Linked DNA regions of Oryzias latipes. The protein of the gene in region 1 purifies or fractionates together with the protein of each later gene. This does not show direct contact. Links are inferred from orthologs where the notes say so. Each region holds a gene or a part of one and is shown in the gene's direction. Other genes may lie near its edges.

Region 1 (7,490 bases):
GATGTTTAAATGAGCTTTTTCATTTCAAGTTAATAAAAAAGAGGTGGAATGTCTTATCTGGAAGTTCAATGCACTTCTGGAGGCGCAGAAACATTCTGATGGTTCGGTTTCGGGTCTGGACAGAAACCAGTTCAAAGTGGTTCTACACAACCTGTTCGAGATGACCGACGACTTCATCATGGATAGAGGTACTATTAGTCACAAGCCTAAGTATTACATTGTAAAGTTTGCTACATCTGTCCTACTATTGGAAAAGTGTCTGCAATTTATCAAACCTTCTCAGTCTTCAGGATATTTGACAAGGACAATGATGGATTTGTCACTGTGGAAGAATGGATCCAGGGACTGTCTGTTCATTTTTGGGGCACTCTGGATGAACAGAAGAAATGCAAGTTCCCCACAGCATGTTCCTTCCTGCTTCTTAAGCACTACTTCTCACACAAATGAGGGAATGCACACATATTTAGCCCATAAGGCCTGTCTTTTCTCCCCCCCTGCAGACTGCTTTCATATGTATGACTTGAAAGGCAGCGGATTTATCACGAGAGACGACATTTTTCTCTTGCTGAAGGACAGTTTCCATCTGCGGCTTGAAGAGGAAGGCAGAGAAGACGACTATCAAGATGAACAGGATGAGATCAACGAACTGATGGAAATTGTCCTCAAAAAAATGGTGAGATGTTGCCCTCCCATCTGCCTTTGTCACATTTGGATCGATGTTGATTGTAAGAATTTTGTCTTGATGTGTGCAGATTTATTTTGGTAACATGCCAACATTGCTTCCTGTGATTCCACAGGACCACGACAAAGACGGCAGGCTGTCTTTTCAAGATTTTGAGAAGTCTGTAAAAAAGGAGGAGCTACTCCTTGAAGCCTTTGGAAGCTGCCTGCCCAATTTCAGGGTAATCACAACCAAAAGTTGCTGAGCTTAAAAATATTGTAAGGATCTATTTAACTTAAATCTTTCTTTTTAGACAAAGAAGAAGTTTGAGCAGCAAGTACTGGAAAAGCAGCAAGATGAATAATAAAATATGAAGTGCAAGCGGTGTTCAACTTTGAGACTTTCATGAAAGAAAAAGCCAAAATGTTTTTCTTAAAGTACAATTTTATTTTAAGTTGAGCCTTTCAACGTTAGTTTTGATAAATATGGACAGTCGTCACTAAAACAGAATGGATCATATCCGACGGCGTGGCTTAACCTTCTTCTCCGCTGGTTTGAGGTCTGGGACCGATGTCACCTAGGAATGAATGAAAAGAATGAGACTGAAATGCACCAATATGGCATCATGTCAAGCTCTAATTCTCATTAAAAAAAAAATAAAAGACTACCTGCTTCATTGTGCCCCTGATCAGATTTACTGTTGTGTTTAGCGACTGATCATTCATGTCCAGCTTATGTGGTTCTGGTAGTTTTGGTCCAATCAAAGACGGTTCTCCAGAATCAGGCACTGGCTGTTTTGTGGCCTCCTCCATTTTGCGGCGTTTGTTCTTTTCCAAATGTGCAGTTCTTGGAACAAGCTTGACGGAAGAATCTGGGTTGGAGGCCAATTTTTTTTCGGAATTAGGGTCTTTACTGAAAGAGCTAAAGTTCTGGACTTTCTGCTGTTTTACGTCAGGAGGCACTGCGTCATGTAAAGTCCCCATTTGATCTTCTGTTGGTTCGTTCCCACGATAATCCTGATGAAAGTATTCCTGCGGGGGTAAAGGCAGTAGAGGAAATCCGGAACAATGGCTGAAGCTTGAAGTCTCGCCTGTTTTGTCACTATTGAAGATTGGATTATTTGTAGCAAAAACTCTGCTTGATGTGGGAACGCTTTCTGAAGACGTAGATTCCATGTGTACCGCATCCGCTACTCTTTCTTTTGCTGTATAAACATGAAACAGATAAATGACACTCATCAAATTCTTTATCTATACTTTAAACTTACAAAACAACAAAAAACATTTGATTTCAGATAAAAATACACAAAAAAAATTTTTTAATCACAGTTTTTTTTCATTGAACTTTTAAAAAACAATTACCTAAGAAAAAAAAGATTCAGTGCTTTTCAACACCGTATATCGTCAAAATGCGATAATACCTCTACTCCGAGCCACTTTCAGAACATAACTTCTCCTGTCCTGCAGCTTTAACTTGGTGTCTTCCACAGACTCGTACTCCGGGACGTAACACACATGCAGCACGCCGCCATAGAAACTCTTCTCATCCATGTTACGTTTCGCCGCTCTGGAACATCAAATATCAACCTGAATGACATATTTTTCAGCATTTCTGGTTTAGGGCAGTACAGTTAAGGTGCCCGCCATACCTAGCACTTGTCAGTTTTTGAAACTTGACCAGGTAGACTTCTGTGAACTCCTCAGCAGGATACTCGTCCAGCGGTCTGTATTCCTCCACTGTTCCATAAAGAGCACACAACTGGATCAGCTCCTCCATCACTCCAATAGCGGGGACTCCCTGGATCATCACATAACGGGACTCTAAATTTATTGTGTAGACCTGGCAGATACAAAGGCATGGTTATTAGTATATGTGAGGCTGTTGACGTGACCAATAAAAATCAATTAACTTAAAGACATAATCATCAGATCTGATGTACTTTCCTGCAACTCAGAAATCCAGTCTACTGTATTAGAAATTTGATTTTTATGGTTTATTAATTACAATTTTTTCGAAATGACTCAAACTTTTTACCATGTCTTTTATTTAATTTTATTTATTTATTTTTGCCAAAACGACAGTTTTATTTGTTTTTTTAAGACCTGCCGTTGGTCTTTTATTTATCACTTGCTGTGTGACTACAATTTATACTTTTTTCTTCCAGTTAAAAAAAAAGATTTTAAAATTTTCTCTTACATTCTTAAATGTAAAAATAAAACCAACTTACACATAATTATTAGCTCGTCGCTTGCGTCAACACAGACCGTCTTTGCTACAAACATTAGAAACGTTTTTCTTACCTTGACTGCTTTAGCTCTCCTTCCATCTCTATATTTGGGTCTAGAAAAACATGCGTTGTGTTGTTCGTGATGTTTGTAGACTTCTGGGACCTTCCAACAACCAGGTTTACTGTTGACATTTGCCGCCATGTTTGCTGAAACGCGTTTCCGCTTTGGTGGCATTTCAAAACAAGAGTTCATTCCGTTGTGCAGAGCACTCAACGTGTAGTGTTGACGACGTGGCAGTCTTATTTTGAAATGATCGATTCCATCGACAATCGACTGTTTTGTCTGGATCAGTTCTCTCATTCATCGAAATGTTTGTTGCACTTTGGCCGTTAGCGCACCAGCATGTTAAGCACTTTAAATGCTAAAATAGCGATGTAAACGTCATGTTTAGCAACCAGGGAATTCAACCAGTATGTGTTGTTTTTAACAACACTAAAAACTGCTTTATTCAACTCTCTTCAAAGCTGATATCGCACCTTTCTCTGAATGAGGTAAAGTATTAGCTAATTACTTAACATCGCTTCAGTTTTGTTGCATAAAGTTTACTGAATAATGACTGCTTTTGTGTTTTACACATTGCTGGTTTGTTTCTCTGACATTACAAGGGGACCTTTGGTTGCATTTAAGGTTTTAGTTTTTCTTAATTAAAACTTATAACAAAAGCAGAGCATTTTTTTATTATCACGTGTACTTAATTAGTATTAGGAAGTAATGCAAGGCAACAAAAAATGAATTGTTGGTAAAAATAGAAATTGGGCATCAAATACTGTCCTCATTCAGGGGTCTTTAGTCTAAAGGAAACTGCATTGTTTTGATTTTTAACACATTAACTCCTAGAAATAGTTTAATTTAGAAAAGGTTGATTATTATAATAACTAATGTGATCATCTCAATATTTCTATATTTTGCTACCACACCTGTGGAATATTTTTGCAATTTTTTAATTTAATTCTTCTGCTGAGCATAAAATCTGAAATGTATGTAATGATACAAAATGTACAAGAATAAAAACTAATAAAGGTATCACAAGTATCTAACATTCATAAAGTTGGAATCATAATTTCGACATCCGCTTTAAGAGACCATTCTGTGTCTTATTTCATCGTCTCTCTTTGGCCGGTCCGTTTTAGAATCAGGCTTTGGAGCTGTCTTGGGACGGCGGGTCGACAGTGTTCCTTAGCTGGTGTCCCATCAGAGCCTCCTTAGGAGCAGACAGCCACAGAGTGGAGTTGTCTCGGCAGCTTGGAGAAAAGCTCGGTTTGACTGATGGAGAACAGGTAAAGACCTTGGTTTCTTCCTTTAGGTCATCAACTGGGACGAACACTGCCTGTGCAACAGTCTCTTAACATTGGTCTGACATTGAGTGGTTTTCACAGTGTTTTCTCAGACCATGCCATCAAGTCTCTTCGCTGAATCAGGTGTTTGTGGAGCCACTGTCATCTGATGACTGGGAGATTTTGGTGAGTGAAATATTGACTTTTGTGTAATTTGTCTAATTGCAGTTATACATTATCATGAAATCAATCTCCTGAGAACATAATCAACTTCTAAAACTCATTTCTAATTATCAAAATAAAAGTTAGTCATTTTAGCTTTCCCTTCTTTCTTTCTTTTTGCATTTTCAGTGCAGAACTGCTCAATCATGATGTTGCTTATTGGTTTGGGGAGCTTAAACAACATTTGTGGCTAAGCAGTTTCATTTTCTGTTTTGACATCTCCAGGAGCTTCACAGTTCTGCACTTGAAGAGCAACTGCTGAATCAGATCCGAGTGGTTTTCCTAGATGCCGTGTTTCCCGTCTGGGTGGACAGTCACACAGTCATCTACATAAAGATAGGTTTGTGCTGTTATCCAACTCAAAATGTTTGTCTGTTAGTCAAACAGTCAGTTATTTTAAAAAGTTACGTCTAACCATTTTTACTTGGTTTGTAAACGTGCTTTGGTTTGTTTTTTCCTCCTCACAGTTTCACTCTCACCACATGTGCGCTTTGGTCATCTTGAGCAATTCACAGAGCTTGTAGTGTCTCCAAAGATTGGTGCTGGAGTTGGCATCAAATCCAGCCAGAGTCAATGGTATCCTCCTCAGCAAAACCCGACGTTTTCCTCCTCTTCTCTGTCATCGGCAGAGAGTTCATTCCATGTCCCTCACAGTAACTCCCCAGGTGGCATTGCTAACATGAAAAACCTTCTCCGCACTTTAATAACGAGCAGGTATGACGCGGTCAAGGAGCTGCCGCCTGTACCTGACATCCCGGTTTTCTTCCCTGATGCCATCTACAGAGTGTGCAATTCACCTCCAGTCTCTCTTTGCACTATTAGCCACATTGCGATCGGTGTTGTTCACATATTTCCATGGAACTCCTCTTCAATTTCCAGCAAGTCCGCAGTAACATACGGCCTCCTTTCCAAAGTTCAGTCCCCTAAAGAAGCCAGGGAGAAAAACAAGCGGGCCTCAAAGAAGAACAGCGTTTCTAAAGAAGAGCAACTAACTGACAAAGGAGATGAAGGCATAAAGCAACAGGAACCGGTGGTTGTCAGGATGATATGCCACGGCACTGAGATGCTGACAAGCAAAGACAAATGTCACAGTAAAGGGGAGATTTACTGTGGGAAAGTATGGGTGAGTATGGAAATACTTTCATTCACTTACATCTTAGTCCTGAATTCTAAAGATACTTTTCGTATATTTGACAAAAATTGTGTTTCTTCAGATCCCACATCCTCTGATGAGCAAAATCAGCATCCGACCACACTCGGCTGTTCGAATTAAGCCTGTCAAATCCACCATCAAAGTAGCCATCAAACTAGGCCTGCAGCCTCTAAATGCCATGGTGAGAGTTGCAATCAGTGTACGATCGGATCTATTCAGAAAAACCTCGGATCCAAAATCCAATCTGTCAAACTGCATTTTTTTTATCTGTCAGCCTGAAGAGGATGATGAAGAGATCCAGTCAGTGTTTCTGGGTTGGCTACACACAAAGAGTCACGAACCTTTGGGCCGTCTGACTCCCCGCTCTGGTACCATCCTCCTGCATGGAAACGACGGTGATTTAATTTTTATCTTCATAAGATAAACAAGTGTCGTTGCATGAACTCTTCTGTGGAAGAGTATTTAAAAAAGTTCAGTTTAGGAGTTTTAAAAGTGTAAAAGCAGTCGCAACAAAAAACTAAATTAGAGGTATGTGAGAAATGAGGAAGAATTCTCTTGGATTTTAAATTTTCTTTTCTTATTTATAGCTAAGTTGGAGATGGCTTTAACTGTGCTAAAACCAGAGCTGCAGAGTGATCCTGAAGACCAGCTTTTTCTTCTGTCACCCACTGTTCTGCACAAGGAAGATATACAGGTACCGCCATGCACACACGCACTCTGCAATAATATAAAATGTTTCTTATTTTTCAGAATTCTCTAACAAAATGTGGAATTAAGGACACTGTGCATTTCCAGTTGTTTAAATTTTGTTTATAGACACTTTGTGTCTCTTTCAGGTAAACAGACAGCCAGCGACTGTGCCGGCTGTCAGCGCTGAAGCACCCGAGCCTGAGCTTCCGTCTCTTCTTAGTCTTGGGTAAACTTTTTTTTGAACTGTAGTAATTGTTCAAGCTAACATTTGTTCTTGCATTTGGCTCTTACTTTGGTTGTCCTTTCTCAGTGGGGTTGGTGAGCACGCTAGGGTTGGGTTTGAGTTCCTTTCCCACAGCTTTGTGGGTAACCCCCTCTCCAGAGAGCTCGGAAAAGCAGGATGGGGTCTGCAAGGAGGAGCGTTGCTTATTACTGGTGCAAAGGTATTATTTACATTTTTTTTTAGACATTTTAAGTGTTTATTCAGATTTATAGATGAACAAACATGATCAACTCACTGTAATCACAGGGAAGTGGAAAGAGCACTCTGTCCAGAGGCCTCTGCAGAAAAGCCAGAGAGGATCTGGACTCGCATGTAGAGGTGGTGGACTGCAAAAAGCTTCAAGGTCAAGGATTCTCCGAGCAGAACATGAGATAATCGGTGAAATGTTAGGAAGTTATGTGCATTTTCTTTTTCATCTTCCAGGCAAAAAGGCTGAGACCGTGAGACAGATTCTTCAGGATGTTTTTGAGCAGGCAGAGTGGAGGCAGCCTTCTGTCGTCCTGCTTGATGACTTGGATTATTTGGCCCGAGCCCCAACTACACCTGAGCAAGACAGCGGCCCCGAGGCGCTGCTGCAAGCGCACATTGCACAAAGTAAACCCAAAGACTGACGAAAGTGATTTGAAGTTTTGAAAAAATTTCCATATTTCATTGTGATGTCATTTTTGTGCTTGAAGCTTTGCGGGACATTGTGGACGAATTTGTGGTTCGCTCCAGCCTGGTGTGCCTGATTATCACCAGCACGAGCGAACACTCCCTCCACCCGTCTCTGACTGAAGTCCAGGGCTCTCACTTCATCCAAGGGTTTGTGAACATCCAGCCACCAGACCAGGTCAGTGTTCAAACCGAGCTTGCACTCACAAACTTCCGCATAACTAAAGTGGAGCGTATCAAACTTCCTGCTATTTTGTTGCAGATC
Region 2 (7,437 bases), on another chromosome or scaffold:
AGGAGTGGTGGGGGCCAAGTCTCACAGTTTGTGTTCGGTTTGTGAGGAAGTTGTTAATCCAGTTGCATGTGAGGGGTGGGAGGCCGAGAGTGAGCATGGGGGTGAAATGTTATACGTTCGCTTCCTCTCACTCCTTTTGAAACAAATAAACTTTTTATGACAAACTTCACATTTATTGGATTCAGTGTGTCATGTATTGTATCTTTACGGACATATAGGTCTACTTTTGATTAAAACTAATTATACTGGCATTGCTTACATTTGTATGCGGATGTATATAAACGCAGGTGTATTTGTTTTATTTAAAAAAATTTAATTTTAAAGTTAAGTTACAGTTTATCATTGTTTAATATATATGTAGGATTTTTTCTTTTAATTGTTTGAAATAATCCATAATAATCTTTTTTTTTTTAAACAGAAGTTGAGAACGAATATGAAGACTTGTCTCATGGCCAAAAGGCGATTGCGATTTATGACTATCAGGGAGGTATGTTGATTCACTTCAAGACATAAAGTGCTATGATCTGTTCACAAATGTGTTGTTACATGTCTGTTTCCACAGAGGCAGAAGATGAGATTTCCTTCAATCCAGATGACATTATCACTAACATAGAGATGATCGACGAAGGCTGGTGGAAGGGACAGTGTCACGGTCACTTCGGCTTGTTTCCCGCCTCTTACGTTCAGCTGATTTAAACTTTGTTTTTTTGCACACTCAAACGCTGACTCCTTGTACGGATATGAAGAAATCAGGCAACTATGTACCAATGCACCAAATCAATCCTCATAATGTATCCAACTAGAAATGAGTACATCTGTCCATCTATATATTGCAGTTCTCCTTTCACAATCTTTCTGTTAAGCAGATTTTTTCCAGTACAATTGTGCATCATGCCTTTCTTTTTTAACACTGATTTATCCCTAAAACATCTGTAATCCTATACTTCATTTTACCTATTGCGGGTTATTCTTAGAAGGTAGCCCCGACGATAAACGAGGGACCACTGTAACTCCAAAATCTGAAATGATCCAAATAAAGAAAACTGAGCACTTTCTACACAAGTTGTTTTATGGTATTTATTGTTTGCATTAATATTTGACACAATTTAGGAAGTAGACAAGCAGAAAATACTGTTCATCCTCTTATAGGAACCACTGTGAACGTAAATCATACTGTTTTTACATAGGAACACATTTCTCAAAAATAAAAAGGTTCCTATTGGAATATGGTGGAGCAACAGTTCTGACAGTCCACTAAAGAAGTCACAGCAGCAGAAAGTTTGTATCTGACACGGCAATTTAGTATCAAAAGTCTTTGAATCAGTTACTCCATTTCACCAGGCAATTCCCTTCTTCTTCTTGCCCTTTCCACTTTTCTTTGTCATGCGTTTATCTTTCAGTTTCTTGATCTGGCGTTGGTTCATCCACACAGGGTACCGTCCGTCTTCATCCAAAAGGGTTTTCTTGTTGCGCTTCTTATCTGTGTCCATCTTCAATCCTAAGGACAGAAATGCAGAGATGAGCTGTGTACAACAAAAACGAAAGCACTAAGGCATGCCAACTTTAAACACCCACATTTTTTTAATCTATTTTCAACGCGTTCCCAGTGGTCTTTTATTTATGATTGTCGTTTATAGCCAAAACATCAAAACTGCTTTCTAGTACATAGTTTCTGCAGAGTGGCAGTCGTTCATTAGAAAGTGACCTCCGAGTTGTAGGTGGAATAACTGGCCCCCTTTTCCCTCCCCATTGCTGAGAGCTCTCTGTTTACATACTCTACTGCTAGCTTACAGCCCCTCACACTCCCTTTGAGTCACATGCCAGCTCAGACGAGCAAAACAAAAATGTTCATGGATGTACTAGTCGTCTTTAAGTGGATGGAAACTTGTGGCCACACTTAAAGAACAGAAATCAATCCACTCACCTTCAGCCGCGTCCTCTGCCATGTCAACATCTGTCTGCTTCTTTATCTTATCAGGAGACACCACAGTAGCAATCTCCTCCAGGTCAGCCATGTCCACCTCTCCTTTTTTGTCATTACTCAGAGCTTGTTTAAGTCGAGCCAGCTCCTTTGGGGCATTTTTCTTCCTCTTCTCCGCTCGCATCTTACGCTTCCATTTGCTTCTGAGGCTTTTAGCCATGTTTACTAACTATTTCTAAAAGGAAAAAGAAAATACTTGGTAAATACAAACATTGTGGAGAACTTTAATTTTTTCTTGTAGCCTATCCTTGCATGATTTAATATAACATCTGAAACTTCATAAAACATAGAAGCTGGATTATGATGAGGTTAAAGAAAACAGGCACATCTAAATAAGTTATTGTCACAAAATGCTTTTAACTAGTTTAAAATCAAGATTTTGTTAAACGGTTAAAGTAGTTGTTTGTTAGCTTGCTGGATTGCTAACACGGTAAGCAGCTAATACTAGCTAACAGCTAAAACACAACGTTTTTTCTCTTCTAAATTACCAAAACGCATAACTTTTTTACGCATAAAAGGTAATACAGTTGTGAACTATATTCTGTACACTAAGGGCAAAATCAAAAAGACATCAAATTGTGAAAAATACCTGAAGTTTTTATAGTAGCGACATAAACACAGCACGTGTTTACAGGAATGGCTTGGAAAAAACGACTTGCACTAAGCTGCCATCTGATTGGCTCATTTTACCACTTTGAAGAAACTAGTGTCCGATTGGCCAATTTTTCAAACCCGGAAGTTCAACGAGATTTGTGGATTGTAAACAAACGGCGTGAGCGTCCATTTCCCTCACTAATCGTAGATTTACTTTAGTCAGGTCGAAGGATAAAAATAATTTGAAGGTTTTGCGGGGTTCACACATTTTTCTGGGAGTCATGAGCAGCTGCTCAAGCAGACAGACGCCTTGCAGCTTCGGTTCCGTTAGCAGTTCCCCTCCGCCGTCCTCTGCTGCACTACAGATGATAAACATGCTCGACTCTGCAGCAGAGCAGATGATGGTCTACAGAGACTTCCAGGCTGTTTTTGATACGTGCCAGAGAGGTCTGGAAAAGCTCGCTGGCACGGAGGACAACAGGTGACCCTCATTTAACGAGAAAATTAAGATGGAAAAAGTTACAACTGAAATTTATTTAAAGTAGTACACTTGAAGCTTATTTTTTAAGAATACTTGAGTATAAGTTTAGAAAGTATTCTATAGACCATGCAAGTGTTGTGTTGGAAGACTAAATTGGAACATTTTAAGTTTATAATATATAGATAGTTAAAAAAAAGTACATTTAAAGTATACTGCCTCGCCTTTAATTATATAGACTTAGTATACTTGTAGTACATTCAAATAGCCTACTCAATGGTAAGGGTTATTTTTGGTGCACTTTTTTATGTGTCACAAAGCAAAGGAAACGTTTAATTAAAACACAAGATGTAAGTATAATGGGTTCCTAAAGCTTTAAAGATTATGGGGAAAAAAGTTTTTCTCCTGATAAAGGTTTGGGGTCATTTGTTGGACATTTGACTCCTTCAGGGAAAGAGAAGCCAGTGGCGTGATTATGGGATTTAATATTTTCTGCTGCTCACGATGATTGTGATTGCACAGTTCTAGTTGTATTATAGTTCTTGGAGGCTCCTGCTGAGGATCCCCATGAAGAGAAGGCTGCAGTAGTTCAGTTTGGAGGAAACAAAGGTTTTATCCAGATTTTCTTCATTAGGCAGGCAGGATGAGATGTTTTTAAAGTCCCACTCTGATCATCGTTTGATTTAAACCACAAAAAACACAGTTTTCAACAGAACCTTACGGGGTATTTCTGATTTCTTTTTTTCTTTCCTTTTTTTTTGACTTTGCAGATGTACAGAGTTGAAGACTGGTTTCTGCATCTTGGGGATTCAGGCGCTGGCTGAGCTGAATCGCTGGCACGGAGTCCTCGCCTGGGTTCTGCAGCAGTATGAGCGCCAGGAAGACATACCAGCAAAAATAATGCAGATGTGGTAAGAAATAATAAGAAATACATTAGGTCAAGGAAAAAAGGAATTTAATCTCCTATGTAGTGTTTATAGCATCCTAAATTAGAGCTACATCATTTTTGTTGCATTGAAGCTGCATAGATACCATATATCACACAAAATTGTGCTTTTAATGTCTATTTTAACCTTTGTTTTGTAAAGTGTCTTTGGGTTTCTTCAAAGGCGCTTTAAATAAAATGGATTATTATTCTAATTATTAAATGCTAATAAAAGACAGAGATGGAAGAAAAAATATTTTTGATAAGAGACTAATTGCTCTCCATCCGTTCTTTTTCTGCAGCATACTTCTGTACTCCAAGGTGGGTGAAGCTGCTGAGATGCAGGAAGCAGCCAGTGTTTGGTTAAACTGTCCATCAAATTGCGGATCTGCTGGTTTCCGGACAGTTGCAGAGTTGTATCTTCTACACATACTTGTGCCTCTCGGACATTTTGAGGAAGCTCGGGAGTTTATTGCAGGTGAGGTTGGTGGCATCGCCTTTGCGGAGCGGAAACAGGCAGCACTAAATATTGTGGAAGAAAAAGCACAACAAAGTCGAGAAGCAGCTCTGCGCTCTGGGATCCATCCAGCTTCTGAGATTTCTGCGCATCCTAACTCAGTTAAAGGTTTGACATTTCAGTCATATCAATGTGCATTGTGCTCAATTTCTTGTGCAGAAATAATGACTAGATCTTCCTAATTGTGGTTTGCAGATGCTATAATCCATAAACTCGAAGCTATGCTCAGGTTTTTATACAGAAAAATCTTGACAGCCGGTTCTGGCTTATTCCCTCTCCGGAGACTTTTCCTGATAGCTGTTATCCTCTACATGCTCTTCAGCAGACTGGATCCAGGTTTGAGAAACTCTTCCTCCTCAGTATGTTACTGTTGACTTTTTTATACCCTGTTGATTGGAAATAAATGAATGCCTTTCTTGTTTTTATTTTTTTTTACAGCTGCGCCGTCCTCATTTATGTGGATTTCCAAACTTTGTCAGCTCTTTAAACAGATGTGGAGAACCATGTTTGGACCTTATTATCAGACTCTCAGTCAAAAAGAATAATTGTGGAAACATTTAGTTGAATTGATCTAATTTGATTGTGTTTAATGGAAGGTCTTTACTTTAATTCTGTGTCTCTAACATTTGTTTAATTTCGTTTATAAATTAAAAATAATGATTTTATAGAAGTGCTTTACAAACGAGCAGTTATAGATTCTATTGCTTGATTATTAGTCAACAGCTTATTTAAAAGAGATCCATTGATCATTTAGTTAGAATCTTGAAGTAAAACCCAGGGAGGTGAACAGGAGGTAGACTGTATTTATGTTAAAATGTAGAATTTTGAAAAAACAATAGCTATAATATATTGCAGAGCACTGATTACCTTTTAGGTGTTATATTTTTAATAAAATCTTTATACCTCTAAAATTGTAGCCATAAATAAACTATTAACAATTATTTTCTTGTGTCCATTATTTTTAAGGACCCACTCCAATCATCTTTTGATCTATTTTCAAAGCCCCCCCCCCCCCCCCCCCCCCCCCCGTAATTATTTTTGCCATTTTTAGCCAAAGTAAAAAGGTGGTAGTAGTTCAAGCCTCTGAGTTGTTTGAAGGACTTTTTGGATGCAAGCCTACCCCCATTTCCCATCATCCATATGTTTACATGCTCTCCCACTAGCTAACAGCTCCTCACACCCAAGTGGTAAGGACACCTCCAACCTAACATTAATGGGCTCTGAGCCAGATACCAGCTTGGACAAGGAAAACGAAGACTTGCATGGATTATATTTGTCTGCAAGTGAATGCATCAGGCAGGGATCTTGTAGCCTGCCCATCATATTTTCAATGTTATACGATCTTTTTCAAACTGAATTTTGTTGTCAACTGCAGATTCACAATTTAATTAAAGAAATACTCAGAAATACAATTTTGAGCTTAATTTTCGTTATTTATACTCTGTTATCAGAAAAATGCATCAAGAACAAAAACTTCAAAAGCACCATTTTCATCAGAGTGGGTCCCTTAGGTGAAAATGACAGTGAAAGTGTGATGTTTTGATTTATAAAAGCAAATCCTGGGAGGATCAGAAAATTTCATAAAAAAATATTTATTTTGTAATGTTAAATTAAAAAAAGGCGTTCTTTAGTGAAGTCACGGGGCAATATTTTTTGCTGTTCCAACAGTTTTAAATGGAAATATACCTAAAGCAACAATATTAAGTGCTTAGAGATACGCAATGTTTAAAACGAGTTTTTTTTATAAATAAAGTTCGATTTTATCTGCGCATGTGCAGTAAATCCCATCTTTTTTTATTTTTTTTAACTTATATGTCTCTTAACAGGATGCAGAACACTTAACAGCTGATTTGTGGTTATAGACCTTCCTATAGGATATATGCCACGTTTTACAAATTTGCTTACTTTATAAATGGAGCTGTTAAGTTTCGTTTTACGCGCAGAGGCGGGTTAAACGAAAGCGATGCCGAGGATGATGATGTGATGAAGACTCAGCTGACAGTGCTTTGACTCCAGCAGAAACGTCAATATCACGGAAAAACTCGACAAGAAAGATTTATTCTACCAAAATAACCCGACGCCGGGTTAAACTACTCGACTTCGTTTAAAACGCAATGTCTTATGGGATTTGGAGGATTTTTCCAACGCTGTGGAACACTCAGCTCAGTAAGTTACATTTGTTGTCAACGAAGTTTTTCTTTTTCTTTTCATAAACAAAGTAGTTGAATTTTTATTTAGGATTAAACAAATAAGCAACTTTAAAAAATAAAATTATAATTTGCGCTCAAATTACACCAAAAAGGCTGATTTTACTACATTACTTTTTATAATATACATATATTGTTTTATATATGGTCTGAAGAAGTATTCAGTTAGTATACTTCCTACACTACATGTACATAGTGTATACATGCTATAATCACGTATACTTAATAAAATATACCTCAGGTATACTGCTTTTTAAATGAAACTAAAATAAAATAAAAAACAACCTGAAACTAATAAAAGAAAATCTGAAGAAAAGTAGAAATTTACTCATTAGGTTTTTTTGGGGACCTTTTTACTGCAATCACTAAACCTTCATCCTGTGTGATAAGAAATTCTTTTTTATATTATATTTTATAACATTTTTTATAAACTATCATGTTTAATTTTTGCTGTTCCATTTTTTAAGGAATGAGAGGCCTTGCCAACTACCATTTGTCCTGTTGTGTAAACACTTTGCTGCAGACCTTCTCTGCAACCTGGGAACTACTAGAACTTCTAGAAAGGTAAGTAAAGTAGTTACCATCCATGTGAAATACTAATACCTCAAGCATTGTTTGAAAAATGAAGGTTTTACATCTCATAAGACGTTTCGGTTCCCACGTATTGGTTTGTGGGACTGTTTGACCTCATAAAACCTGCTCAAATATTTGAAAAATGCAGTGGTGTCCACCTGG

The links. Proteins that work in one complex are often made in the same cells at the same time.
Region 2: the proteins of pex1 (region 1) and pex26 purify together in Homo sapiens (affinity purification with western blotting; 3 studies listed by BioGRID and IntAct, with this or other methods). This does not show direct contact. The link is inferred for Oryzias latipes from reciprocal best matches to the Homo sapiens genes PEX1 and PEX26.

The regions. Positions count from the first base shown.
Region 1 is NC_019869.2:21,758,664-21,766,153, reverse strand, and holds the start of pex1 (peroxisome biogenesis factor 1), read left to right. Parts: upstream 1-3,238; 5' UTR 3,239-3,332; coding exon 3,333-3,440; intron 3,441-4,079; coding exon 4,080-4,226; intron 4,227-4,325; coding exon 4,326-4,409; intron 4,410-4,670; coding exon 4,671-4,785; intron 4,786-4,912; coding exon 4,913-5,568; intron 5,569-5,659; coding exon 5,660-5,779; intron 5,780-5,872; coding exon 5,873-5,993; intron 5,994-6,185; coding exon 6,186-6,292; intron 6,293-6,434; coding exon 6,435-6,514; intron 6,515-6,598; coding exon 6,599-6,731; intron 6,732-6,817; coding exon 6,818-6,914; intron 6,915-6,994; coding exon 6,995-7,165; intron 7,166-7,248; coding exon 7,249-7,403; intron 7,404-7,487; coding exon 7,488-7,490. Other genes in the region: efcab1 (EF-hand calcium-binding domain-containing protein 1), read left to right, coding at 30-188, 284-388, 501-673, 798-902, 975-1,025; rbm48 (RNA-binding protein 48), read right to left, coding at 1,176-1,238, 1,330-1,865, 2,082-2,227, 2,310-2,500, 2,962-3,123. UniProt on the Homo sapiens protein: Component of the PEX1-PEX6 AAA ATPase complex, a protein dislocase complex that mediates the ATP-dependent extraction of the PEX5 receptor from peroxisomal membranes, an essential step for PEX5 recycling.
Region 2 is NC_019881.2:17,755,648-17,763,084, reverse strand, and holds pex26 (peroxisome assembly protein 26), read left to right. Parts: upstream 1-2,720; 5' UTR 2,721-2,856; coding exon 2,857-3,056; intron 3,057-3,823; coding exon 3,824-3,964; intron 3,965-4,280; coding exon 4,281-4,603; intron 4,604-4,690; coding exon 4,691-4,831; intron 4,832-4,933; coding exon 4,934-5,040; 3' UTR 5,041-5,436; downstream 5,437-7,437. Other genes in the region: hematopoietic lineage cell-specific protein, read left to right, coding at 419-487, 563-696; llph (protein LLP homolog), read right to left, coding at 1,335-1,498, 1,925-2,141; ubl carboxyl-terminal hydrolase 18, read left to right, coding at 6,610-6,661, 7,170-7,266. UniProt on the Homo sapiens protein: Peroxisomal docking factor that anchors PEX1 and PEX6 to peroxisome membranes. PEX26 is therefore required for the formation of the PEX1-PEX6 AAA ATPase complex, a complex that mediates the extraction of the PEX5 receptor from peroxisomal membrane.